Linked DNA regions of Rattus norvegicus. The main gene of each other region encodes a partner of the protein of the gene in region 4 in a complex. Links are inferred from orthologs where the notes say so. Each region holds a gene or a part of one and is shown on either strand. Other genes may lie near its edges.

The links.
Region 1: Polr1e (region 4) and Polr1f share a complex: the UniProt entries of both Homo sapiens proteins name them as parts of the RNA polymerase I (Pol I) complex. The link is inferred for Rattus norvegicus from reciprocal best matches to the Homo sapiens genes POLR1E and POLR1F.
Region 2: Polr1e (region 4) and Polr1h share a complex: the UniProt entries of both Homo sapiens proteins name them as parts of the RNA polymerase I (Pol I) complex. The link is inferred for Rattus norvegicus from reciprocal best matches to the Homo sapiens genes POLR1E and POLR1H.
Region 3: the proteins of Polr1e (region 4) and Polr1b are in contact, whole or in part, in a cryo-EM structure (PDB 8A43), measured with the Homo sapiens proteins. The link is inferred for Rattus norvegicus from reciprocal best matches to the Homo sapiens genes POLR1E and POLR1B. Residues at the interface, in NP_071935.1 of Homo sapiens: Gln27, Ser29, Asn30, Gly31, Tyr69, Thr76, Leu79, Lys80, Cys81, Leu84, Cys85, Met109, Gln110, Pro111, Leu112, Phe113; in NP_061887.2 of Homo sapiens: Lys254, Ser258, Phe259, Ser260, Tyr262, Gln263, Gln266, Ser295, Thr296, Gln297, Ser338, Thr340, Glu341, Ala532, Cys535, Pro541, Ile542, Asp543, Gly544.

Annotation. Positions count from the first base shown.
Region 1 is NC_086024.1:55,781,994-55,789,361, reverse strand, and holds part of Polr1f (DNA-directed RNA polymerase I subunit RPA43), read right to left. Parts: intron 3,673-7,368; coding exon 3,531-3,672; intron 1-3,530. UniProt on the Homo sapiens protein: Component of RNA polymerase I (Pol I), a DNA-dependent RNA polymerase which synthesizes ribosomal RNA precursors using the four ribonucleoside triphosphates as substrates.
Region 2 is NC_086038.1:1,597,171-1,605,135, reverse strand, and holds Polr1h (DNA-directed RNA polymerase I subunit RPA12), read right to left. Parts: upstream 4,967-7,965; 5' UTR 4,866-4,966; exon of another isoform or gene 4,785-4,865; 5' UTR 4,773-4,784; coding exon 4,637-4,772; intron 4,408-4,636; coding exon 4,307-4,407; intron 4,143-4,306; coding exon 4,033-4,142; intron 1,247-4,032; coding exon 1,222-1,246; 3' UTR 1,048-1,221; downstream 1-1,047. UniProt on the Homo sapiens protein: Core component of RNA polymerase I (Pol I), a DNA-dependent RNA polymerase which synthesizes ribosomal RNA precursors using the four ribonucleoside triphosphates as substrates. Can mediate Pol I proofreading of the nascent RNA transcript.
Region 3 is NC_086021.1:136,805,844-136,813,211, reverse strand, and holds the end of Polr1b (DNA-directed RNA polymerase I subunit RPA2), read right to left. Parts: exon of another isoform or gene 6,927-7,368; intron 6,872-6,926; exon of another isoform or gene 5,715-6,871; intron 4,910-5,714; coding exon 4,713-4,909; intron 4,282-4,712; coding exon 4,028-4,281; intron 2,798-4,027; coding exon 1,915-2,797; 3' UTR 1,604-1,914; downstream 1-1,603. UniProt on the Homo sapiens protein: Catalytic core component of RNA polymerase I (Pol I), a DNA-dependent RNA polymerase which synthesizes ribosomal RNA precursors using the four ribonucleoside triphosphates as substrates.
Region 4 is NC_086023.1:64,073,664-64,077,922, reverse strand, and holds the start of Polr1e (DNA-directed RNA polymerase I subunit RPA49), read right to left. Parts: upstream 2,801-4,259; 5' UTR 2,775-2,800; coding exon 2,654-2,774; intron 1,937-2,653; coding exon 1,833-1,936; intron 1-1,832. UniProt on the Homo sapiens protein: Component of RNA polymerase I (Pol I), a DNA-dependent RNA polymerase which synthesizes ribosomal RNA precursors using the four ribonucleoside triphosphates as substrates.

The DNA.
Region 1 (7,368 bases), on a different chromosome or scaffold from region 4:
GGAAGTACTCTGCATGGGGGACTGGGAAACAGTGCTTCCTCCAGGAGTCAAGAGTTCTTACACGAAAATCTCAGTGTCCAGTATGAGCTGTTTCTTGTGAGTTACTGGTCAGGGAGGACCAAGTGAAACCCAAAACAACACAGAACACTGCCACTGCTTTTGGCTGGCCACCAAAGCTAGATGGTAAGACCCTACTTAAGATTCAACAGACTTTGCTTTATTGGAGAAATAAAACTGGAACTGACATGAAAATTTCTTCTTACATGGCTAAATTTCATGGTGCCAGAGCTGATGTGGGGATGTCATCAACAGTCTTAGCCAGTCGGTGGACTCTGCATGCTACAACACTGACCCGCCAAGCACGTCACACCTACTGATACAGTAGGGTCAGAGTGCTGTGGAGCAGGATAAACCTGGTCAAAGCCCATGGCTTGGAAGGTCATGGGCCCTAGGAAGAAACTTATGTGCATTTCAGAGTCTTAGAAAACAAAGCAAATCCAAAATTAGGTGGAAAATGGTAATAAAGACCAGAGTAGAATTGGTTCTTGGAAATGGTAAACAAAATTAATGAAACTAACTGGGAATGGGGTGTAGACACAAATCAGCTTACAAAGCAGAGTTACATTCCAACTGACACTGCAGCGGTTAAAAGACCATCAGAGGTTATTTCTTCTTTTTAAAAAGTGTATGTTAACATATTGGAAAATCTAAGAGAAATGAACAAATGTCTGGACACATATGACCTAGCCAAGCTGAATCAAGTCCATTGGAATAGACTGTAACAAACAGGGACACTGAGTTGGTAATGGTCCCGTATGAAGAAAAGACTTTGATTCAATGGCTTCATCACTTAACCTTACCAAACTTTTGAATATGAACTACTATCAACGGTTCCCAAGCCATTCTGTATAAATCAAAACAAAGGTATTAATTCTGTGCATGTTACCTTCGTACCAAAACTTGATAATAATACAAAATGATATCTAGTAATTCATGTTCCCGGTGAACACCTAATTGAAGGTTACAGTGTTATCAAAAACTCATGTAACACAGTCAAGGTAACTAGTTTCACTATAGGGACTTCAGAATTGTGTGACATACAAAAATCAGTTAAATACAATGTAACTACATAACTAGAATAAAGGATTAAAATCATGATCATATAACTAATCAATTCTCACTGCCCTCCTTCTGTAGAGTACTAATCTATAGTGCACTATTAAAAACATTACCTGTCAATAAAGCTCTGATGGCTTATTAGCAAAAGGAAGTAGAAGGTAGAAGTTCCAGGAGAGATAGGAACTCTGGGAAAGAGTCAGGCATGGGAAAATTCACTACCTAGACACAGAGGAAGTCAGATGTATGAAACTGAGAAGAGGTAACCAGTCATGTGGCAGACATAGAATGGTATAAATGATTTATATAAGTTAAGAGATAGCTGAGGAGCAAGCCTAGCTTAAGGCCATATGCATTTTAAATAAAAATAAGTCTCTATGTCCTTATTAAGAAACTTGGCCAGGCTTAGAAAAGACACACACAGTCAGACTAAAGACTAGCCAGGGCAAGTAGGCACTACAATGAAAGAGAAGACACAGCAATAGGAAAGTCTCAATTATCCCCATCTGTAGGCAGGATGACTGAATATATAGATGAATTTAAGGGTTCCACCAAAGATTTTAGAACTGGCAAATGAATTCAGTTAGGTAGCACATACAAAAATAAAGACACGAAATTAATAGCTTTCCTAATAAATACAATTTAACCCTATTCTCAATAGCCACACAAAAATTAACTACTTAAATAAACTCCATTTTGAAATGAAAGCCCTCTATGATGTAAAGCAAAACTAACTAATGAGAGGAAGATAAAATGACAAGAAAGAAACGAAAAGAAACACGAAAGAAAAAGAAATAAACAAAGAAGAAAGCAAGCTGGCTAGCTCCCTAAGTTCTTATGTGGAAGTCCAGATACTGTTACAATGACCATATTGCTAAAAGCAAGCCACAGTGCAATATCCAAATGACTAATAATGTTCTTTATAGAATTTAAAAACAAAATCTTTATACAGATGTACAAAAGACAAAAAACAAAACAAACAAACAAAAAGAGGACAACCAAAGCACAAGAAACAAAAGCAAAAAACACTTAAATGATTGTTAATTGTAGTGAGATTATTATATAAAATTAAAGTACTTCTGTACCTCAAAGGAAACACTCAAGAGTTAGAGAAACGGCACGCAAGACAGGAGAAATGTCAGAGCTCAGAAACATAAAGAACAAAAAAGTAAGTCAAATAAAAATGGACAAATGGGGCTGGAGAGATGGCTCAGTGGTTAGGAGCACTGACTGCTCTTACAGAGGTCCGAGTTCAATTCCCAGTAACCACATGGTGGTTCACAACCATCTGTAATGGAATCTGATGCCCTCTTCTGGTGTGTCTGAAGACAGCTACAGTGTATTCATATTAAATAAATAAATAAATAAATAAATAAATAAATAAATAAATAAATCTATCTTTAAAAACATGGACAAATGATTTGACGAAACACACCTCAAAAGAAGTAGAAGTAGCCAATAAACACATGGGAGAAATGCTCACATTTTAGCCACAGGGGAACTCCGAATCACAACTTCAATGCTATACCTGCAATGGCTAAGCACGCTCAAAGACTGACAGGGCTTAGAATCACCCAGTAGGCCATGGCACACTACTGGGTGTCTATGACACAGTTTCCGAAGAGGATTAACAGAGCTGTGAGAACAAAGGCTGGAGTCCAGAGAGAGTAAGAGAAAAGCAGAAATCAGTCAGACACCAGTATTCCTTTCTGTTTCTTGGCCCAGCAGGATGAAAACTTCTGTACTCTGTGCCTCCTTGCCAAGTAAAGCAGAAGCCAAACAAAACCTTTCATCCTTCAAGCCTTTTCTGTCAAGTATTTTGTTATGGCAACAAGAAAATGACTCGATATTTCACCTAAATGGTTAATACCAACCACAAAAATTACATGGTGAAAAGATGTGAGCAAAAAGAACTCACACAATTGCTCCTGTGAATGTAAGTCAACAGACACTATAGGAATCATAAAAGGTAGTGAGTGCTACCATATGATAATAATCCAAGAGGTAAAATCAACACGGAGCAGAAGAGCCTGTGCACCCGCCCAGGTTTATTCAGCACTGCCCACAACAGGTAAGACGCTGCTGTCTACCACCGTCAGAAGAAGAATGGATAGCTGGAGTTTACATACACAGAGCAATACCATGGAACAAACATATCCACACAGAAGAGAGAATTCCTGTGATCTGCAGTGATGTAGAGAGCTGAATCATGTTACTGAAGCAAACAGGCACTGAAAGACAATTACTGATTTTCTTCCATATGTGGAAACTACAGTTCATTTTTAAAGGAACCCAAGAGAAAACAGTGATTGTTAGGGAGTAGGAAGGGTGCTAGGTCAAGGCATTTCCAGAAAAAAAGTTATGTAAAGGAAGTAAGAAAAAAAAAAAAAAAAAAAAAAAAAGGCTGTACATACCATCAGTTTCTGCCCTGGTTTAGGGCAGAAAATAACAAAATCGGCTTCAATGTTAAGATGAATGTGTCCTTGATCATCATAAATATCTCCCAGTTCACCCACAACTCTGATGTTATCATATGCAATGGGAACACCTAAAAGGCTGTAAAAGGGGGGAAAAGATACTGTTAATCCTAGTTAAAGATAATCTGCTGTTATCTCTCTGACATACCACCCCTTCCCAAACATAATGGTATCACCTAGTCTCATAGGCTAATAACACTAGCCATCCTAGCAATTATCATTCATCAAAATTTCCATTGTCTCAGTTAAAGTGACCAGCAGCACAGGCACTCAGAACTAAGCACTGCAATAAACTGACACTCATATGCTACCTATCTGAATCGGTCATACTAGGGGGAATAATGGAACTAAGCAAGAAAACATCTAGATACTGTCTGACTAAACACAGGCAATTGTGACACTATCCACTATTACTAGTTTCTATATGTGATACTATATAATAAGGGAAGCATGACTGTTTAAGCTACAGCCTGATCACTGGAACCAATGACTTAATACAGAAAAATAACAAACTAAAATCTTTTCTACTGAAAAGAAATGTTAATGGACACAACCATATCATTTGAGAACTGACTTACACTTAAGTAGACACATTTCAAGTCAAGACTAACAGCCTATGATTATTTTAAAAGGCCAATTAACTAAGAAGACATATGAGCTTTACTAATTCTTCCGCACAAAAAACTTCCTGAAGGAAATTTCCCTAACTACACACACACACACACACACACACACACACACACACACACACACCCCACATGTAAAAATGTATTACTGTTTGTAACCTAATTTTATTGAATCCATTTGTACAAATGTTTAGATTCAAAGTACAACTCTAAGGTCATGGACAGAAGAAAATGTTTTATTGGCCTCAATTAAATTTCTAGGACAGTCCACCTAAAGTAAGAAAAAGGATTTCTATATAATAGATTTTATTTTAGTGAAACAGCCACAACCCATAGGAAAGGAATTGTAATAGCTACCAAATTAGGAAACCCATACACTCAGAGATCTTCCAAGGAGAGTACTGAAAATTTAGCTTCTATACATTGTGGCTTACCTAAGGAGGAATCGTACATCATAGGCAATGTGAGGGACGTTGAAACAGAACAAAAGGAAAACACAAGTATCCACCACAACTGTCAAGGAAAAGTCTCTGCTTCTCTTAGAAACCTCCTCTAATATAATACTGAGAAGAATCTAGCGAGGAGACATCGCTGTCCCTAAATGGCACTTGGAAACAAATGTCACTGCTGCATTTATCACAGACACTGCAAAAGCCAGAAAGGAACTCTGCTGTGTACAGAACAGTTCTGTACATGTATGTGCAAGCAGTCTCTATGCAGGATTCTTAAATAAGGGACAAACTTGTTTATAAATTGCTGAGGATAGAATTTACACTTTAAAACAAGTATATCAATTTATATTTGTCAACTTTATATACTCCTAACATACTAAAACACTTGTAGAAATGGAGCAATACTTGTATGCCAGAAAGACTATTTTGTGGTAGGTCAACAGAAATAACCATGTCATAAAAGCACCAGTAACTGTAGATGGAGTGTGTACTATCTGAGCTACACATGCAAAATGTCTGGATCAATCTGCATTTGACTGAAACACTTAACCAGCAACTCTATGAATAAGTGAAGAAGCACCTAACGTCTTAGTTTTCCAGACCATTATGCTCAAATGTCATAGATTAAAATGGTTTACAGGGTTGGGACACTATGTAAAATTTTTAACTATATGGGTAGGTTGTGCTAATCTTTAAATTTCATTTCAGCATAGTGAATGATATTTTCATAACAGTAAACACTGCAAATTATGGCCACCAAGGGGATACCAGGACCCACAGGGTTCAGCATCTCTAAGGACTGTTATGCCCACTGAGTGCAAGGCTAAATGAATTTGTGAAACCCGTAAGACTTTTGGGAAACTACTTAGAGTAACCTACCAAGCATCACATATTCAAAGACAGATTTCTTAACACTAAATATCTTCTCTTTATTTAAAATATATATATATATATATATATATATATATATATATATATATATATATATCTCAATACATACGGTCCACATGAGGTTCACATGGTAACTTCACCTAGGATATATAGGAGGCAACTAGATCAAGTTTAAGGGACATTTTAAGCATTTAAGACTTCCTTGGGACTAGGAGGATAAAATGCATCTGACATCTTTAAATAACCCAAGGGTGCCAAAGTATGCTGTGTTTTATTTTATTCCCTGACAAATGGCCTCTTAAAGGTTCAACTTAGAAGCTACGATGTGATTTCAGAAAACTACTTACTTTCTCTAAGAGAACAGTCCAAAGTTGAAATAGGATATTTTTTGTAAAATAAAATCCTGCCACAGAGAAAGAGAGGCAACAGTCTGACTATTAGGAAACGCTGTTAAGAAGACTTAAACATTAGCACGGGAGTCTCAATTCCATATATTTTTTAAATAAGAAGACAGACGTACTGGTGCTTCAGGACCGCCCACAAGTCTAAAAACATAAACTATACAGGATAAATGGTACAAATAACATGGGACAATTAATATGGCAATATAATTCTCATTATTTCAACGTTTTATCCCTTGATTTATTAATACTCAACTAATACTCGAGTAACACTGGAACCTAATATGCACTGTGGGGGAAAAAGGCCTTTTTAAGCATACTTTTGGCATAGTATCAAGGAAGGGAGGTGTCCAGATCAATTAAACAGTATATTCTATTCTAAATGGCTGCATTATCCAATTCTGTTACAGAAGTTATCAGTTTCTCATCTGTAATAATGACTCCTATTATACACCTTTATATAATGTTTCCCTAATGGATGAAAAGCTGTTTAGAATACTTAACATAACTGCTTGTGTTTTCATGTTAGTGATCACCTTGTATATTCTTAAATCTTTCGACCCCTTTAATCATTTTCCTTTCAATAACTGCTAATTGATATCTTTACTTACTGCCTCATCCTATTTAAAATATCTAATTCTAATTTGTTTCTTAAATTGTAGATGTAACCATGTCCCAGGGACCTCAAACGTGTACCTCTCCTCTCAAGAGAGTTCCAAGTCTCAACTGGAGGCTAATAAGTGGATAAAGCAACAACTGTGCTGTAAGAATCAAAAACTGGCAACTGAAGAGATGGTTCAGCAGTCAGGAGCACTTGCTGCTCCTGCAAAAGGCCCAGAATCCATTCCCAGCATGCACTTGTGGTTCACAATCATCCATAATTCTAATTTCTGAGGATCTGATACCTTCTTCTGAGGGCAGCAGGCATGCACTTGGAACACATACACACATGTAAGCAAAGCATAAATAAATAAATAAATAAATAAATAAATAAATAAATAAACAAACAAACAAACAAACAAACCTAATACAAACGAAAAGAGGAGCAGGAGAAAAAAAAAAAAGAAACAGATAAAGACAATGGGAGGAACGTAATGGCCATCTTCTAAGTCTTCGACACTCTCCTAAGGATCCACGGCATGTGTTTCCCCTGACTACTACAATTACGGAGTGTTTACAGGCCTCTGCTCCCAGCATTCTAGCTTACATTTACTACCCATCTGTTTATGGCACTCACTGGCTAGAATGCCATCTAAATACCAGCCTATTGTGTCGTCCTCACAAAATCTAATTCCACTTTCTCACTATAACTTGTCAAGTTTTAACAGCTCACTGGATTTGATTTACATTATATCCCCACAGTACCCGAAAGCTCCTTGAAAGTAGACTCTTACTTCTATCTCTC
Region 2 (7,965 bases), on a different chromosome or scaffold from region 4:
CACGGTATGTACTCACTTATAAGTTGATATTAGCCATAAAATACAGGTACCATGCTACATTACACAGACCCAAAGAAGCTAAACAAGAAGGCCCAAGTGAGGAAGCTTGACTCTAACTTAGAAGGGGGAATCAAATAGTCATGAGGCAGATGGAGGGAGGGAACTGGAAAGGAGGGGGATAGGTAAGGGAATGGGTTCAGGATCAGGTGCCAGGAGGGAAAGGAGAGATGGCTGGATGGCCATCAAAATGAACAAAAAATCTGCAACTAACGGGTGAGGAGGTGGAGGGTTGGGGGGCTCTCTCCAGGATGAGGGATAAGGGAAGGCACCCAAGAATCAATGGAGGTGGCCTTTGCTATGACTCACACTACACTGGGGATATGAATTCTGAAGAGCCCACCTCTTGTAGCCAGAGAGGAACCCCAGTGGAGCACTAGAGACACCAATCCATCCACAAAACTTTTTTTTCTTTTTTTCAGAGCTGGGGACTGAACCCAGGGCCTTGCGTTTGCTAGGCAAGTGCTCTACCACTGAGCTAAATCCCCAACCCCCATCCACAAAACTTTTAACCCCAAATTTACCTGTTCTGCTCAATGGCTAAGACACTAATGCTAAAATTAGACTCTGCCTACATGCAGGCAGAGTATATGTAATCTGGTGGTTTTTAACTTTATAGGCTTTGATGCTGCATCTTGGGAGTGCTCTCAGTTGCAGTCCTGGTGCCATGAGTACTTAATAAAGCCTCTTATTAAAATTTATTTATGATCCTTGGGAATCTCTTAGACCCACAACAGCCTCATGCCCAACTCCATTATTTTATTATAGTTTTTTTCTTTTTTTATAGCTGGATCTCTGTTTCACTTAAATTCCCTTTGGAATGAGACCGATTATTGGGTTTTTTTTTTTTTTTTTTTTTTTTTAGTTTTTTTAGCTTGTTAGGTAGCTCAGGCTGGCCCTGAATTCCTTGTCCGTCTATCCGTGACAGGGCAAATATCACCAGTGCCCGACCAGGACAGAAGATTTAGAGTGACACAGATAACGTCAAAGTTTCATAGAAAAATAACTTTAGTAAATTCGACAAGGGGAAGGAGTACTCTGGGTCGATGATCTTATTCTGAAAACAAAGCCTGATAACCGGAGGAGACCAAGAAGGCATCAAAGACCAGAATCTTCACGTCCAAGAGGAGGAAAGGACTGCCGCTGAGCTGCCAGAAAAAGGGGTCAAGAATCTTCCTTTTCCTGAAACCTATGGAGAAAGAAGACATGTTGTAGTTAACCGAAAAGGATTTCTAGCAGTCTGAGATGAGATCCAACCCATGAAGGACGTTTTTCTTATGACAGGGATGGGTGAGCGTCCCCCAAACCACCCTTTACCTCTAACCTCACGGTGACCAGTATCTAATTCTTACTATGAAGTATGCAAAGATTTCCCAGGACAGAAAATCACTAGCCAAGAAAAAGAAAAGGCTAAACTGTAACCCATAATTTTTTTTTTTAAAGGTTGTAGCTGGAAACAATAGGAACAGATCTTTCTCGAAGAACCCTATAAACGCTGGGAACGCTACCTGGGTTCACCCACACTGAAAGAGACCCAGAATTCAAGTCATAAAATAAGTAGCACACAGTCAAACATTGCAAAGCAAAACAATACCGTGAAGACATCAGCAGAAACAGACAGTATCAGATCCACAGAAACGGTGGATCTTAGAATCACCACACACACACACACACACACACACACACACACACACACACACACACACACACACACGTTTAATATACTTAACATACACATTTAAAGAATAAAAGGGGCAACTTTAAATGATTAGTGGGTGCAGAGAGTTGGCTCACTGGTTAAGAGCTCCTGTTGCTCTTGCAGAGAACCCAGGTTTGATCCTTAGCACCCACCTGGTGGCTCATCTAACCATCTTTAACTTCAGTCCCAGAGAGTCTGACATCTTTTTCTGACCTCTCTGGGTACCGGACATGCAAACAGTGCACTTACACACATGCAAGCAAGACACACACACATAAAAGTGTTAAGTGAAATGATTGAAAATTTAAAATGACTCACAAGCTAACTGGATGGTTCGTGACATTTGAAAAAAGTAGTAATGAAGGGGAGGGCAGAGGAGACGGCTCAGCTGGGAAAGGGTCTGTTGCACAGACATGAAAACTTGAATTTGGATTCCTGGGATCCATTTAAAAGTAAAGAAAATTCTGGGTGTGGTAGTCCACATGTACAGAATGGGCTCTACTAGATCTGGGAAACATGGGACAGTGGGAAAATGAATGTCCAAAACGCACTGACTGGGTAACCGGCCTAGTCTGAGCTCCAGGATCAGAGATTCTGCCTCGTAAGATAATGTGGAGAACTGGAAGTGGCGGCATACATTAATTCCAACGCTCTGGAGACAGAGGCTGATTGGTATCTGGAAGTTTGAAGCCAGTCTGGTCTCCAAAGATTTCTAGGCTAGCCAAGAATATAATGAAACCCTGTCTCAAAACACACACACACACAGAGAGAGAGAGAGAGAGAGAGAGAGAGAGAGAGAGAGAGAGAGAGAGAGAAATACCCAGTGTCTAACACTGGCTACCAAATATACACATGCACAAATACATGCATACATCCACATGAACACATAAATACACTACACCTACAACATTCTCCCCACCACAAACATACAAACTGAAGAGAAAAATCTGACATCTTTTTCTGACCTCTCTGTAAGAAAGATCTGGAGAAATTACCCAGAAGACTCTATAAACAGAAATGGGATGGAAAATACAAAGATGAGAGATGTGAAAGTCTAATAAGAAATTTGAGGACATGGGGGACAAGCAATACTGGAATGGGATAATGGCTGATATATTTCCAGACTGACAAAAGGTAAGTCAAGTCTCAGCTTGGGAAACCTAAGGGACTGGTATGTGGTTGAGCTGGTAAGAGTGCTTATATAGTTCTCCCAAAGCTCAGAGTTGGATCCTCAGAACAGTTATGGTGGCACCGACCCGCCTGTAATCCTTGAATCTCAGAGGTAGAAGCAGCATAAGAAGATTAAGAAGAAGAAAAACATTAATTACAATTCTAAAGAGAACAAATACAAGAGAGCTCGGGGCACCACTGAGTGCAGAGCACTTCTTTCACATGCCTGAGGCCGAGAATTAAAGCGGTACCCCCAGGAGAAAGGAAAACAACAAAAAGCAAAAGCACAGAAAGCCACACAATTATGTAGAACTACACAACAACCAAGACAAGACTGCTCCAAACCATCCAGACCACGTCCTTTGAATCATGCAAGATTATGTCAAGTCACTCCTTCACAGTGTAAAATTTCAGCATGTTGTCCAACTGTGCAGAACAATGCCTACTTCCTGTGCTTTAAATTTTCCTAGAAGCTTTGGTTTTCATTTTGCTTTGGTGACAGCCTGTGTAGCTCAGGCTGGCCTTGAAACCACGATCCTCCTTTTGAGGCACACATTACCACACATAGCTCTCTTTTCATACATCTTAATAGGTTTAGAAAACTAGCTGTAAAAACAGTAAGGGGGTGGGTGTTGGGGGGGCTGTGAGATAGCTCAACGCTTAGGAGGATCTGCAGAGGATCCAAGTTCAGTTCTCAGCACCCACATCCAAAGGCTCAGAGCTACCTGTAATTCCAGCTCCAGGGACCCAAGGTCTCTGGCCTTGGTGGGTACCTGCACGTTCAAATATGCAGATATAAACACCTACACATAACTTTAAAAGATAAACAGTCTTTTTAACAAGCCAGCTGCAGTGGCACATGCTTGAATCTCAGCACTCAGGAAACAGAGGCAGGAAACTTGAGGTTAACCTAGGCTGTATGGTTGAGAGTTCAAAGCCAGCCTGGGTGAGCTCTAAGTCTTGAAAAACGCCAAGTAAATAATAAAAATAAAAAGGGGCTACAAACCCTCCTCTAATGAACCGGACCAAATGAAATAATATGAGTCTGTCATTAATGTTGTTTTGCAAGCACTGAAAAGGGGCAATGGGAGGGGTAATCGTCTCACTTGCAGTTGATACAGGTATAGAAGACAGTCTGTCCTTCATCAGCTGAGCGCATCTGTCTGGTGTAGTATGCCATTCCCTCGTGACCACATCGGGAGCAGCGCCTGTCAACCTAGGAAGGAACAGAAGGGTTATGGAGTTCTAATCATAGTCTCTGCTTCCACATAGAAATCAGACTATTGCACTCCTTGGACATTCTCACGGAATGGAGTGCAAAACCAGGTCTCCCAATTCCCCTTTCCATTGTTCTTTTGGAGCTAGTCCTTATCAACTTACTACTGGTCCCTGGGATTCAGGTCCCTCATCCACAGACATAGGTATGACAGTCCCCAGTTTGTTGAACACTACTGAGGTCTTCACAACCTTCCCTCCAAAATCTGCACAGGAAGTAAAAATAAACAAACCAATAAAAAATAACAGTAGAAATAGCAAAAGAGGCAACGAATCCCAGCAACACTCTCCCAGGTGAGTCACGACCTCCCTTTGAGTTTCTTCCCTTGGTCAATGTCTCCCTAACAGATTCCTGTTCTGAGTCTCACCTCCCTAAGCCCAACCAGTGCTGAGGTCACCTCCATCGTGGACGTAGCTAGCATACCAGCCCCTCACCTCGCACATCGATGGAGAAGCCACAACGAGGGCAGATGACAGTATCCTGAACTCCAGGCAGCGGCAGGACGGAGCCACAATCTGGGCAGAAATCCAAGTCTGATTGAAAGTTGGAGCAGGGGCGGGCCAGCTCCATGGCGGATGAGAGCTGGGAAAGAGGAGTTTATTATTGAGGCGCAGGAGTCTGGCCTTGAAGGTGGTTCCTCACCGCTTCCCTAGCGGGAATTACCTGAGTCCTCCTCCCACAGGATCCTCTGACCGCAGAGTTTGGAGTGCTAGGAGCCTGGAGCCTCAGCTGCTGGGGAGCCTTGTGCGGCAGGAGGTAGGCGGAAGGGAGATAGAGTACAGATCCCAGCCGCGGGCTAGAGCGTCCGATCCCAAGGCGCCAGGCAGCGAGTGCGCCCGGCGGGCTAGAGCGTCTTCCGGGTCCTGGTGGCCGTTGGGTCGTGACGTCATAATTAATGGCGCAGGTACTCGAGGCCGCTTAAGGGAAGGAGCCGAACCTCTGGCGGAAGGGAATATACGGCGGCACGCAGTCTGGGACTATGACGTCGACCAAGTTAAGGCGAGTAGCTAGTGCTAGGCCACTCGCTATTTTCCTGCTCCGCACTAATCCTGGACTATTTGCTTTTGCAGGGAATCCTACACGTAGCAGGGGAAGGGGGCGGGAGCGTCCCCCTAAAACTGTACTGATTTTTCCAGAGCAACTGATACCTCTTGGATTGAGAGAACCGCAACTTTTGCTGGTTCCCGAGACCGTTTTGTTTTCCTTTTGCAGCCGCTCAGTAGTCAAAAGCAAAGCTAAGAAGCATTCTTTTGGGCCCTCCTGGCCGTTCGTCTCTCGGCTACACCGGCTTCCTCGCGTCAGCTTTGGGCAGTTCTGAGCACTTGAGTGAGTCAGCTTCGTAAGGAGTGTGGAATGGTGAGGGTGAGAGGGAGTTTAGGGATTTGAAGATGGTGCAACTGGTGTGACTAGGGCTCTTCTCTCCCTAGGCACTTGCCAGATGAGGGAGAGGGAGGTTAGTTATTAAAGCACTTCTTTGGATTTACTAGGAGATTGGTCTTGGCTTTCACTTGCAGACCATCTTCCACTCTCCTAAGCTCCCATTCACCCGTGTTTAAATACCTGCCATCCAGTAAGTGAACAATAGAGTAAATGTAAAGTCGTGTCGTTTCATTCACCAGAAGCGTACAAAGTAAGGAAAACGTATACTGAAGAAGGACCAGCTTGAAGACAGCGTCCCCAGCCCTCCAGCAGCCAACCTGATTACCATGCTAAGTCACATAACTACTTTCTAAAGGACATAAACTACTCTTTCATAGAAGAGACCCTCATCTGTCTTTCTGTGCACTTATTGTGAGATTAAACCCTGGAGAAGTAGTTAAAACCCCTGAGCAAGATGCCGGAGGACAGACCCTGTCGTTTTACTTAGGGGTGAAACTGGCAAAGCTCTGTTGCCGAGACTGTGATGGTTGAACTCTAAATTTTACCTGTGTCTTCTTTCAAAGTAGAAATTAGCCCCACTTTCCCTTTAAAGTTGGACATTCTTCAGACATCCACCGTGGTTTGACCGCTGCCTTTACTGCACAAGCAGTATAAGGCATGACGTTCCTTTCCCATTAAAAGCTCTGTCTGTCCAATACATATTTAGCACCTGTGTAAGGGTTAGAGCTGAGACCAGACTGTGTAGTTGAAATCTGTGTTCTCTCTTTAATACAGATGAAAAGTTAGAATATGGAGAAAATACACTAGTCGGTGCTTGAACCAGAGATACAAAGTCTACAGTATATAGCTCTAGATTTCATGGAAGACTGGCACACGCTTTAATAAAAGATACAGCATGTCTGTGTGGTCGTGCATCCCTTTATCTTAGTACTAGGGGAGCTGAGGCAGGAGGGTTGTGAGTTTAAAGCCATCTTGGGCTACAGAGCAAGGTCCAAGCCAGCCTCAACATGTAACAAACTTCTGTTATGGTTCATGTGTGTGGGGGTGCTCATGCGTGTGCATGCATGCCTGCTGGGATGGACCCCAGGGCCTCAGTAGGTAAGCCTTTTACGACTGAATTAAATCCCCAACCCTGAGATAGTTGTGAGGGAAAGATTAGCTACTGTGTGATAATGATTAGAATTTTGAGACTTATGATCATAGTACCATATTGGATGCCCTGTGCAAGAAATGAAAGTATCTGGCTGTAGAAATGGCTCGGTAGTTAAGAGCTCTGGATGCTCTCAGAGGACCCCGGTTCATTTTCCATCATCCATGCCACATGGATGCCCACAGCCATTTATAACTCCAGTTCTGGGAGATCCAATGCCTTCGTCCTACCTCCACAGTGGCATGCAAGTGTGCACAAACATGCATGCAAGCAAAACACTCACACATAAAAAATGTATTCTATAAAGAAGAAGTGCAAGGGAGGTGGCCATTATTTTTCGGAAGCAGGGTCTCATAGCCCAGGTTGACCTAGAACTCATAGTACTCTTGCCTATCCGCCTGTGTCTGGTTACAGTCACAAAACCTCCACATCAGGCTCTAGGATGGTAATTTTTTTTTTCAATCTCAAAGCAATAAGCAAATATCTAAGAAGGGCTTGAGAGATGGCCTACTGGTTAAGAGCACTTGTTCCTCTTCTAGAGAACCCAGGTTCAACTCCCACTGGTAGCGATAGCCAGCCATAACAGCTAACAGTTGTAACTCCAGTCCCAGAGAATCTCACACCCTCTTCTGGTTTCTGAGTGACTACATGCATGTGGTACATAGACATATGCAGACAAAATGGCAGTACACACTAAAAATAGAAATAAATCTTAAAAGAATATCTGAGAAGTCAGTGAGACAAAATATTAGGTATAAGAGCCTCTAATATTATGAAGCTTATCACTTGTAGAGTGACTATAGATACAAATAATTGATAATCTTTACAATATTTTTAGGGTTACTTCTTTGTTTTGAGTGTTTGCCTGAGTATATCTGTGTATGCCACATGCATGCACGCTTTGCGCCCATGGAGATCAGAAGGGGTGTCTGATTCATTACTGGAGTTATAGATGGTCATGAGCGGTCATATGGGTGCTGAGATGTGAAAGTAGCCAGTGCTCCTAATCACTAAGCCATCTCTCCAGACCCAATAGTGATTGATTTCTAAATAAATAAATAGATAAATAAATAAATTTATTCTTTTCTCATTTTTCATCCCAACTGCTGTTTCTTCTCCCTCCTCTCTTCCCAGTCCCTCCCCTCTCCCTTCAGAAAAGGGCAGGCGTCCCAGGGATATAAACCAAACATGGTATGTCATGTTAAAATAAGACTCAGCACATCCCCTCATATT
Region 3 (7,368 bases), on a different chromosome or scaffold from region 4:
TGAGCTCTTGGATTGTCGTAATGTCACGCAATTTCTTAGTCAAGAATCTACAACTTGAGATCAAAGTTAATTTTAAAAAATTTAACGGGGTATTGTGGGATATGTTGATAATTCTCACACTCTGGAGGCTGGAGCAAGGAGATGGCTAAGCAATTTTGGCTTCATAATGAATCCTACCCTCAAAACCCTTAAAACACAAATATTTTCGACACTAGATCTACACCGTAACCCCAGGTATAGGATCATGGAGAGATAGAGAATAGGGTGTGTCTGGGTCTAAAGCTGAGCTATTAATAACAAGGGAGAAGTATCAACAATACAAGGTGTTTTCCTTATGGAAAAACTCAAACGCCCATTAACAGGGAACAGTATGTTATACAGAAGCATACACACAGAATCCTAACAAGCACTGAGAAACACATACAAAGATTAAGGAAAAAAACCCAAATAAACATAGTTACTCACTAATCAGATATATCCAGCTTTAAAGGAGGAAGTCCCACCATTTTAAAAAATGGCTGACAGTGGGGGGGGGGGGTGTCATGCTATGTGAAACATGGCAATCACACAGGACAGGTGCTGCATGATCCCACTCTGAGTTAGAAGGAAAGCCAAACTGACAGGCCAGCACTTGTAGCTGATACCTGCGCTGCATTTGGAACTGTGAAGACGACATCTCAACTTATACACACTCACTTGTAACTCTGAAAAGGTCATCTCAACTTACACCACACACACACACACACACACACACCACTCAAAGGTGCACAAGGAAACTGGAGATGACAGATCTGTGTAGTGCAATGTACAGGAAGTCTTTGTGTCTGGTCTGCGTGAAATTGTGCAACAAAGTCTCTGCTATGTTGGGTGAGTAAGTAGAGGCTAAGAAAACCTTTTTGAGACTGTTGAACCTTCAAGAAATGCTGCCTCCCTCGAAGTGTACTTGCTGCTACATGAGTTTTCAGTCGCACAGACCTTCCTTGGTACCGAGACACTCCTGGCAATCCTAGAGTTCTTCCTTTGATTCTGGCTAGGCACGGTCAAAGGGGATTTGTATGGGTTTTATGCTTTCTCAGGCAGCAAGGGCAAGCAAGATAACTTTGGCAGTTGGAACCTTTCCCAGACCCAATTAATTTGTGTAATGACTGAATAAAAGTAACTGAAATGTGCTAGTTGGGGTCAGTCTTTTCAAGAAGGCTGAAGCCCTTTGCTCCTATGGAAATCATTAGCACCTTGGTGGGCTTCTCTCTACTGTGGCACCCATGACCAACATTGATCAATACATCTAGTCAGTCCCCTTGACTGTGATAATGACAACACGGACCACACCTACATTCCAATCCACCCAGCAAATTATATATACAAAATAGCTTTAGTTTATATGTATATAAAAATAAATATTACGGGCTGGAGAGATGGCTCAGTGGTTAAGAGCACTGACTGCTTTTCCATAGGTCCTGAGTTCAAATCCCAGCAACCATATGGTGGCTTACATCCATCTGTAATGGGATCTGATGCCCTCTTCTGGTGTGTCTGAAGACAGCTACAGTGTACTCATATAAATAAAATAAATAAATCTTTAGAAAAAATAAATATTACCATATGGCTTCCATTTTCTGTTTATTGTACTGCCCTGCTCTAGACGGCGGACACACTCTACTACTCAAAGCAGGGAACAGCGAGTGAACCTGGGCCCAGAAGGGCCCTGCATGACCTATTATCAATTAAGTCATTTTTTAAAGAAGGCACATAATTTTTTTTTTAAAAATGAATGTACCAAAACCAACTTCAGTAGGTTACTGAGACATTTCCGTACTGAAATTCTTATATAGACCCAGAGCAGACCCATAGTATCCTCACTGGATTAAAGGCACCTTTTGTTCTCTTCTCCTAGCGCAGATGGCCGTGATCAAGTTAAATGACGTCCAGTTTCACTTTGATGTTCATGGCAGCCAGCTCAGCTACAAAGTACCGGAAAACATACGGCACAGAGACAGTGTCGATGGAGTCACTGCGGCCACAGACGGTGCAGTTGTATTTTCTGTTACGCATCGCAGACCAAGATGGGGGAGGCTTCTCGAGCAGCGGAGAAAGCAAACTGCCACACTTCACGCATACGTGGGCCACAGAGCGGTCGGAGCAGTTGAAGAGGCGGTCATGCAGAAGGAAAGATGTGCCGTGCGCCAACAGAGCATCCCGCTCCATCTCCCCAAATCGGATCCCACCCTGGACGTTCCTGCCTCCGATGGGCTGGTTGGTGACTTTGTCCCTGGCTCCAGTTGTTCTGACTTGAAATTTGTCTGACACCATGTGTCGTAGGCGCTGGTAATAAACCACACCAATGAAAATGTCAGCCTCCAGCTCCATCCCGCTGATGCCGCTGTACAATCTCTCCGTGCCATAGAAGTTGTAGCCGGCAGCCTTTAACATCTCACCAAAGTACTCTAGGGCAGAGTTCTCCTCGGAGAAGATGAAGGGTGTTGCATCATGGCAGAGACCATGCAAAGCTGCTGACTTCCCAGCCATACTCTCGATTAACATACCTATGGTCATACGGGAGGGAAACCCATGAGGATTAAACAGAATGTCCGGCATCATCCCACTCTCTGTGAAAGGCATGTCCTCAGCTGGCCACAATCTGCTCAAAATGCCCTTCTGTCCGTGGCGGCTGGCAAACTTATCTCCAATAGTTGGGTTCCGGGGGACTCGGACGGTGACGCAGACGCACTTGAACTTCCCACTTCCTGTGTCATTACTGCACACTTTGATGTTGTCCACAACACAGTTTTCTTTACTCCTAAAGAAAATGCATGAAATAAGAAGTCAAGCAGCTTGTTCTGTTTGTGAGTGTCTAGCCCTGGCTGACCTAGAACTTGCAGTGATCTCCCTGTCTCTGTCTCCCATGTGCTAGGAACAGGCATGTGACAAAGAGCCTAGTCAAGCTTGGTTTGAACTTAAAAATATTTAAACCCTGTGGACATGATTAATGTTTCAGAATATATATATATATATATATATATATATATATACATATACATATATATATATATATATATATATATATAATGCTCCCCATCTGCTCACAATGTAAATAGATGTTAGATGATATTCATGACTAGGATTACTAATTGTGTTTATCTGAGAGAATATTAGCAAATGAAAATCTTCTAGGCAAGTCCACTGAAGCTGTCATTATAAATCAGCTAAGATGGGGGTTGGGGATTTAGCTCAGTGGTAGAGCGCTTGCCTAACAAGCGCAAGGCCCTGGGTTTGGTCCCCAGCTCCAAAAGAGAAAAAAAAAAAAATCAGCTAAGATAATTATTCATCTTTATAAAGAGGCCTAAGAACCCAGTATTTTGGCTAGGATTCACCCCTAATGCCATGTTTAAGGAAATGACCATAGAAAGTTACCACAAAAGTAAGACACCAAACACAGCACAGTGCTCATTTCTGCAGTGACCATGAATAACATCAACCACGTGTGTTCACCGCTAGGTCACGCCACCACCTCTCCTGCTGTGGTGTCAGAAGTCAGGCCTTCAGGACAGATTTAGGTCCTGAGGAGAGAGTCTCCCTGATAGATAGGGGTTTCACGGAAGGGCTCTGAGCTGTTCACTATATTTGCCTTTCCATCCCCGTGTGAGGACTCTAAGACAGGGCCATCATGAGGATTCACCTTTAACCCTGAACGCCCTAGCCCACAGAACAGAGAGAATTTCTTTCATTTCCCAGTCTTATCTATTTGTTAGCACAGCAGAGATTTAAAACAATAACTAGCTTATTACCTAAAGTTGTTTCTTCTGTTAGAAGACAACTTAATTGACCTCCAGTAATTTCACTAAGAAACAGCCCATAAGCCAAATGTGGCAACATAGGCCTATAATCCCATCACTTAAGAGGCAGAGGGATCACTCATCACATCTGGGCCAGGTTGGTCAGTACAGTGTCCTCCAGACCAATCAGGCTCCCAGTGGCACACTTTTCCACTCACTAACCAACCAGTAGTCCAACATGTCCCCACACTTACTTATAGTAAACCACGAAGCCTTCTCCGGTGTTAAGGTTTAGGTAGCCGTAGTAAGGATCACCAAACTCCAGCTTTGCTCCTATGAATGGCAAGCCATCATTGTCCAGCTTCTGCATAACCCGTGGGTCACCAGGTTTGACCCCAAATACCAGACTATCATCCCCTTGCTTAAATTTCTCAGAGAGGTCTATGAACTCAGACTTGTAGACACTTCCATGAGCAAAGCCTCGTTCCCAGGAGGCCTTGTTTACAATCTGTGGAGTCAAAGAATCCAATTAATTTATGAGACTGAGAGCAAACCAATTCTTTCAAAATATAACCAGTTAAGGCTGTACTAATATTTGGTTTAAGGTAACCGGCATTTGATTTTGAAACCACATTTCCAAAGTTCTAACACTATCAAGCCCCAGATATGGCTTAAGACATAATCCAAGGTAAAGGGTGAATATAGCAACCTCACATCAACCTTTACTCACAGTGTGTCTGCAGATATGGAAGGTATACACACACTGAGTATCTTTCAATGTCTCCCTCCATTCATCGCAGACCAGGAATTAACCATTTCAAGAACAAATGCATTTACTTTTATGGCCTTGAGGGCACACAAACACTGTGTCAGTAACCTCACAGTGAGGATGTTTACAGTTAAGAACAAGGATTACAGAGGTAGAACTCGAACGCTCACCATGGCGTCCTCCATATCATAGCCAGTGTAGGAGATCACAGCCACAATGGCGTTTGTCCCGATGGGATAGTTGTCCATGTCATAATGATCATACATGCACGGTCTCACTAGAGGGCTCTGGGGTGTCTGGAGACGATAGAGTTTATTATCTGATCGGTCTTGGTAGGTGAGCAGCGGGAAGCCCATGGTCTGCTTACCTACAGAAGAAAAAAAAAGGCTTTGTTTTCAATCCTCAACTCTCAGAGCGCTTCCCAAAACTGCAAAGAGCTAAACACACACCACAGAATGAGTAAGGCAAGCATGGTGGCTCTGCTTATGAGACTAACATCAGCTTTGAGAACCAAGAATATCAGCACCGCCTGGACTGAAATAACGCAGGCCTAGAGTTCAGAACTGCGTTTAATGTACACACTATTTACAGACGCTTGTGACACACAGCAGATGCTATCATTTGCAATATAATGGGAACACTGCGAGCTGCAGAGGACACTGACAAGTATAGGACCCCTGTGGATACACACACAGAATTTGTAATTTGTAATTTGTGACAGTGTTTGTAAATTCTGGGCACAGGTAAGGGGTGCATCTGTGCATTCCTTTACAAGAAATCCTTTCAGAGCAGGACGATTTTAAAACCAAATATGTATACAGAAATGATGGCTACTGGACTGTCAGCTTGACTAGATGTAGAAATTACATAGAAACAAATCTCTGGATGTGTCTACATGGGATTATCTAGGTGAGGTGAACCGAGGTAGGAGACAGGCCTTAAACTTAGAGCTCAGCTCCCAGACTGGATCTAAAGGAGAAAGCAAACTGAGCGCAAAGAGTCACTGCTCCCGCTCCCCATGCTGTGTGGCCGGCTGACCCTGCACCTCTTGCCTCGACAGACTGCACTACCTGGTACAGTAAACCCAAACAAGCTCCTATGTCTGAATGCTCAGGCATCAGAAGTGGCACAGCTAGAGAGGGATTAGTAGCCTTGCTGGGGTAGGTGTGGCCTTGCTGGGGTAAGTGTGGCCTTGCTGGGGTAGGTGTGGCCTTGCTGGGGCAGGTGTGGCCTGCTAGGGTAGGTGTGGCCTGCTGGGGTAGGTGTGGCCTTGTTGGAGGAAATGTGTGTCATTGAGGATGGGCTTTGAGATTTCAAAAATAAAAATAATAAAATAAGTTTTTAATTATTTAATGTTTAGAAAAATCAAGGAAAAGAATTCATAGCATGGCAGCTGCTGGAAAGTAAGAGGTATTTTTTTGTTTGTTTGTTTGTTTTTCTTTTTTTTTTTTTTTCCCGGAGCTGGGGACCTAACCCAGGGCCTTGTGCTTGCTAGGCAAGTGCTCTACCACTGAGCTAAATCCCCCAACCCCCCCCCCCTTTTTTTAAATGTGGCTAACAGAGGAAGAGCCTTTACTCTGCACATATGTTGAGTGTAAACCTTTGGTGAGAACTGCATGAGACTGAGCCAAGTAGCTTAACTGAGACTAAGAACCCAGTTAAACATCAGTCAAGACTGGCGGCTGGGGGTTGGGGATTTAGCTCAGTGGTAGAGAGCTTGCCTAGGAAGCGCAAGGCCCTGGGTTCGGTCCCCAGCTCCGAAAAAAAAGAACCAAAAAAAAAAAAAAAAAAAGACTGGCGGCTGACCGCACCTTCAGAGAGGCCTATCAGGGGCCTAGCTTAAAGGGCTACCAGTGACGTTAGCTGACACAGAGATTACTGAAACACTATAACATAGTGTAAACAGTAAACATAACTCACACTCAAGAAAAACTACAGTCAGTGGACAGCAGTCCTGGGACCACCCCAACATTGGAACAGTAACTTTACAGCATCCACTAATCAGGCTCAACATACACAGGAAAACAAGCCCATAGTGAAGAGGGAACAAATCCCCAGAAAACAAACTGGTAACAAGAACAAACACCCCAACACAACAGGTCTAGACCGAAAGACAACTGGAGTTCAACTCCTAGAACCAGCATAAAGGCAAGAAGAGAGACTATTCCACAAAGCTGCCCTCTGACCTCCACCCTCATGCCGTCCTCTGACTTCTACCCTCATGCTGCCCTGTCCTCTGACCTCACCCTCATGTTGCCCTGCCCTCTGACCTCACCCTCATGTTGCCCTGCCCTCTGGCCTTCACCCTCATGCTGCCCTGTCCTCTGACCTCCACCCTCATGCTGTCCTATGACCTCCACCCTCATGCTGCCCTGTCCCCTGACCTCCACACTCATGCTGCAATGTGCACACCCACACACATAACCTGCACACACAGCAAGGTGAATAACCACAGGGTTATTTATGAAACGCATGGCTAAGTCTTGAAAGAGGAGAAGCAATAAAGAGGAAGAAATAAGTTTTGAAACCCTTGAAAATGTTCCAAAGTTGATCAGTTTTTTTCTTATAAAGACCAGTAAATGCTATCAGAACACAAAGAGAGTCACATCTAGACATACAGCTAATCTCCTGAAAACAAAAATAAAGAACAAGTCCTTTTGTTTTGTATTTTCAAGTCAGGGTTTTTCTGTGTAGCCCTGACTGTCCTGGAACTTGCTCTGTAGACCAGGCTGGCTGCAATCTCAAGAGATCTGCCTGCCTCTGCCCCCTGAGAGCTGGGATTAAAGGTATGTACGCCATCTTGTCCAGCTTCAGAACAAATCTTAA
Region 4 (4,259 bases):
GCAACCACATGGTGGCTCACAACCATCTGTAATGGGATCTGATGCCCTCTTCTGGTGTGTCTGAAGAAAGAGACAGTATATTCACATACATATAATAAATAAATCTAAAAAAAGAAAGGAAAAAGAAAAATAAAACCATGATACTGGTGGGGAAATGAAGTGGAATAAAACAGACTTAGAAAAAAAGCGTTTTTCTTCTCATATGCAAAGTCTGGGTGTGACTCTGTGAGTGTGTGAGTGTGCACACATTCAAGGCATGAGAGTAGAATCATAATTAAGAGTTGTAAAAGAAAGGAAAACCAGAGAGAGAGGCTGATACAGTATGTATGTAATGAGATAGTTATGTGTTGCGGGTGTTTGGCCTTTATGCATATATGCATGCCTTATTTATGAAGTGCTCACAGGAACCAGGAGAGGGTGTTAGGTCCTCAGGAACTGGAGTTATAGACAGTTGTTGCCTCCATTTGGGTGCGGGGAATTGGACCCAGGTCCTCTGGAAGTGCTCTTTACTGCTGAGCCACCTCTCCAGCCCAGTATGTATGTCATGAAAGACTTATTTGGGAGGGTGGCAAGCAACCGGCAAGAGGGAGATATGGGGGATGGCAGCGGGCAGAAGGCAGTGGGAATACAGATAAAAATAGCAGTTGGCGGCACAACAGAACTAACCAGTGAGGCCTTGGTCTTCTAGCACTTACAGGTACCGGGATCCTGTCCAGAACTGCCTTAGCCCAAGTCCTAGATCTTTGCCGACCTTTCTGACATTAGCTCTCCCTATGCACCGAGGCCACTGGAAACGGCTGGCTCGATTCCCATCACAGACAAGCTTTTCTTCTCTGTCTTTTCACTATGGACACCAAACGTCAGCTATCACACCATCCTTCATTCCGATTCACCCTTCTCGGGAAGGCATTCAGACGAGCAGAGACTAGGTTTCCTACAGAGCTCGCTAGGCTCTAAGCACTCCCTTAGACCCCAAGCTGCGTCTACTGTATGCCTGTACTACTTGGTGAATTTGAGTCTCTGGAGGGCAGATGCTCTTAACCCTGGCATCCACCCAGGAGAGGCCAGAGATGCTACAAAGCATCCTGTGGGGCTGGGTGGTGGTGGCACATGCCTTTAATCCCAGATCCCTGCACTCAGGCGGAGACAGGTCCCTGAGTTCAAGGCCAGCCAGGGCTACCCAAAGAAACCTTCAAAAAAACAAGAAAAACAAAAAAGCATCACTCTGGGGTCAGGAACACTCTTCCATGGGACCTTCATGGGATTCCCAGCACCCACAAGGTTCCACAACCAACCATTTGTAACTCCAGTTCTAGGGGACCCAGTGCCCACTTCTGACTTCCATTAGCTACACACATACACAGAACATAGACAAAAATGAAAAACACCCATACACATAAAACAGGGTTGAACCTGATCTCTGAACAGCTTCCCTAGGAGTTGCAAATCCCATTAAGGTGCTTCCTTAGCCTGCTACAAGAGGACATGGTGAATATTCAATAAGGGGGAAACATATGAAGCCAGGAGTGGCTGGTGCTGCACACCTTTAATCCCAGCACTAGGGAGTCAGAGACAGGTGACTCCCTGAGTTCAAGACCAGCCAGGTAGTAAATTCCAGAATAGTCAAGGATAAACAAAGAAAACCCGTCTGGAAAGATAAAAACCCATATAAGTGAAAAGCTATCCGTTCACCCCAAATCTTGCTCCTCAATGGAGCCAGAGTCCCATTTGCTACTCCTTCGTTTCTCCCCCTACCCCCCGCCATGTCTGCCCACACCAAGAACCTTCTGAGGTCTGCAGAACCCAGACAACCTGTACCAGCAAGCACTTACCAGGATCCGATGGCACTTCTGCCTGGGGTTTACCAAGTCGGTGCTGTTGTACAAGGTGAAGCGCATGTTGCCTGGATTCTGCAGCTTCCCATTGGAGAATTGGACTGTAAGAGTGTAACCAAAGAATGAGACACGGGCGGAGTTGGGGATTTGGCTCAGTGGTAGAGTGCTTGCCTAGCAAGCGCAAGGCCCTGGGTTCAGTCCCCAGCTCCGAAAAAAAAGAAAAAAAAAAAAAAAACCAAAAAAAAAAAATCCTCTTTAGGGGCTGGGGATTTAGCTCAGTGGTAGAGCGCTTACCTAGGAAGCGCAAGGCCCTGGGTTCGGTCCCCAGCTCCGAAAAAAAAAAAAAAAAAAAGAATGAGACACGGGCAGGACCAGCAGGGTGAGGTGGGGGATAATGAGGGGATTGCATTGTGGCTGGAAGCCGGTAGCGACGGCAAGGAAGCTCATGTCCGACTTTTAGGGGGATTGAAGGAAATCCTGGTTCAGTTCTAAAGAGGGAATTGGAGGAGGGGAAAGAAAGTGACCTCGTGGTAGGGTTGTGACAGAAGAAAATTACTGAGGGAATTCCATTTACTGGCAAGAGAGGGAACTCTGCTCCTAGAGGGGAAAAAGGGCGAATGAGAGACCTGTGGAGATGTCAGATCCTGGGCAGTGTCCTAAGAAGTATACGAAGTGATGACAGATGAATGGAGGGAAGAGGTGATGGTGGCAGGGGTCCTGTCCCAGCTCCAGGCAGTGGACAGGGAGCTACCGTGGTACCCAGATCTTGGAAGGGGACAGGGTTATGCGGAACTCTGCTCCTATCCGGCGGTCTTTACCCAGCACAGCTTTCTGCCTGTCGTCGGGCTCTCCACAGTACTGCCATCTTGCACTCTGTAGCACCTCTGTCTCCGTGTCTCCAGTCTGGCCATCCATCCCGGGAGAATCCGGCGTAGCCATGAGCTCGCTGGTTCACACGCGGACTCACAAACCGGAAGTGATATCTAGTCCCCGCCCAGAGCACTCCAGCAATAAGACCACGCCCCTTACAGGGTAGCTCTCGTCTCCGCCCATTCTTGGTTCCTCCCGCGATGACCACGCCCTTTGTAGGAGGGTGCAGTACCTCCTCTTTCCTAGCTGGCCTCCAGATGAAGAGCTTAGCTTTTGTAATGTATTTCTCCCCACAGGCTCTAAGCTATGGGACCAGTCCTAGACCAAAATCTCCAAAACTGAACCAAAATAAAAGAAACCGTTCCTCTTTAAGAGCTGTCTTCATTTTGTGTTGTTATTGTCGTTCTAGGGAGACTATCACCTTGTCTGTAATCCTGGTTGACCTGGAACTCGCTCTGTAAAACAGAATGGCCTCAGATTCACAGAGATTGGACACTCGGTTTTGTCTCACATGTTTTGTTAAGGTAATATTAAAAAAAAAAACCTGACTAATGTAGGTCCTTTCCTTAAGTAATTTCAATACAGCTACCCGAATAGAAAACTAACAGTGATACGACCATGTAATCTTTCTTTCTTTTTTTTTTTTTCTTCTTTTTTCTTTTTTTCGGAGCTGGGGACCGAACCCAGGGCTTTGCGCTCGCTAGGCAAGCGCTCTACCGCTGAGCTAAATCCCCAACCCGTAATCTTTCTACAGTATCCAAATTCCCCAACTGTCTCGATACGGCCTTTACAGCTAAAAGATCCTGTCCAAAATCTTGTTGCAGCCTTACGCTTGTAATCCCCGCATTTGAAAGGAGGGCTGCCGTGAATTTGAAGCCAACTTGGGCTCTAAATGAGAACTGACACACACGCAAATTATACTTTGCTTCTACCTGTCAGAACTCCTTGGTTGGAAGGTTACTTTCTCTGACTCTTCTCAGTGTTTTTCAATTGATTGTTTCCAGAAGACGAAAGGGGCTTAGTTAACTAATTAGTCATCTGCCTCTTCCGTGAGTCTTTTCCATACACAGCTTATTTGAAGTTAACAACGCAGTGAATGTTAGAGCCTATTAGAAACATTTTATTTGTTAAATTATTAATTTATTTGGGTCCCAAGAGGGAATGTGTGGTAGAGCAAAACTGCTCCTTTGGTGGTCAAGTATGAAAGGAGGAAGAAGGGGCTGAGGTCTGTATTCCTTTTAGGCTGAGGCTGTCTTCAAACTCCACTCCTTCTGTGTCTGAGGGAGACTATGAACTCCCCACCCTCCTGTCAAGTGCTGGCATTGCACCATCACACCCAGCCAGAAATTTTATTTCTTTTCTTTCACTTCTGCACCTCCAACTCCTGGAAGGTCCCGTAAAAAGAAAATGGGAGAATCTCAACAAATGTTGAGTGAGAGGGCTGGCAAGATAGCTCAGTGGATAAGGCACTTGCTACCAAGTTTGATGGCCTTCTTTGGTGGAAGAAGAGAGTTTACTCGGTAACATATACCTGCACACACAAAAAATAAATAA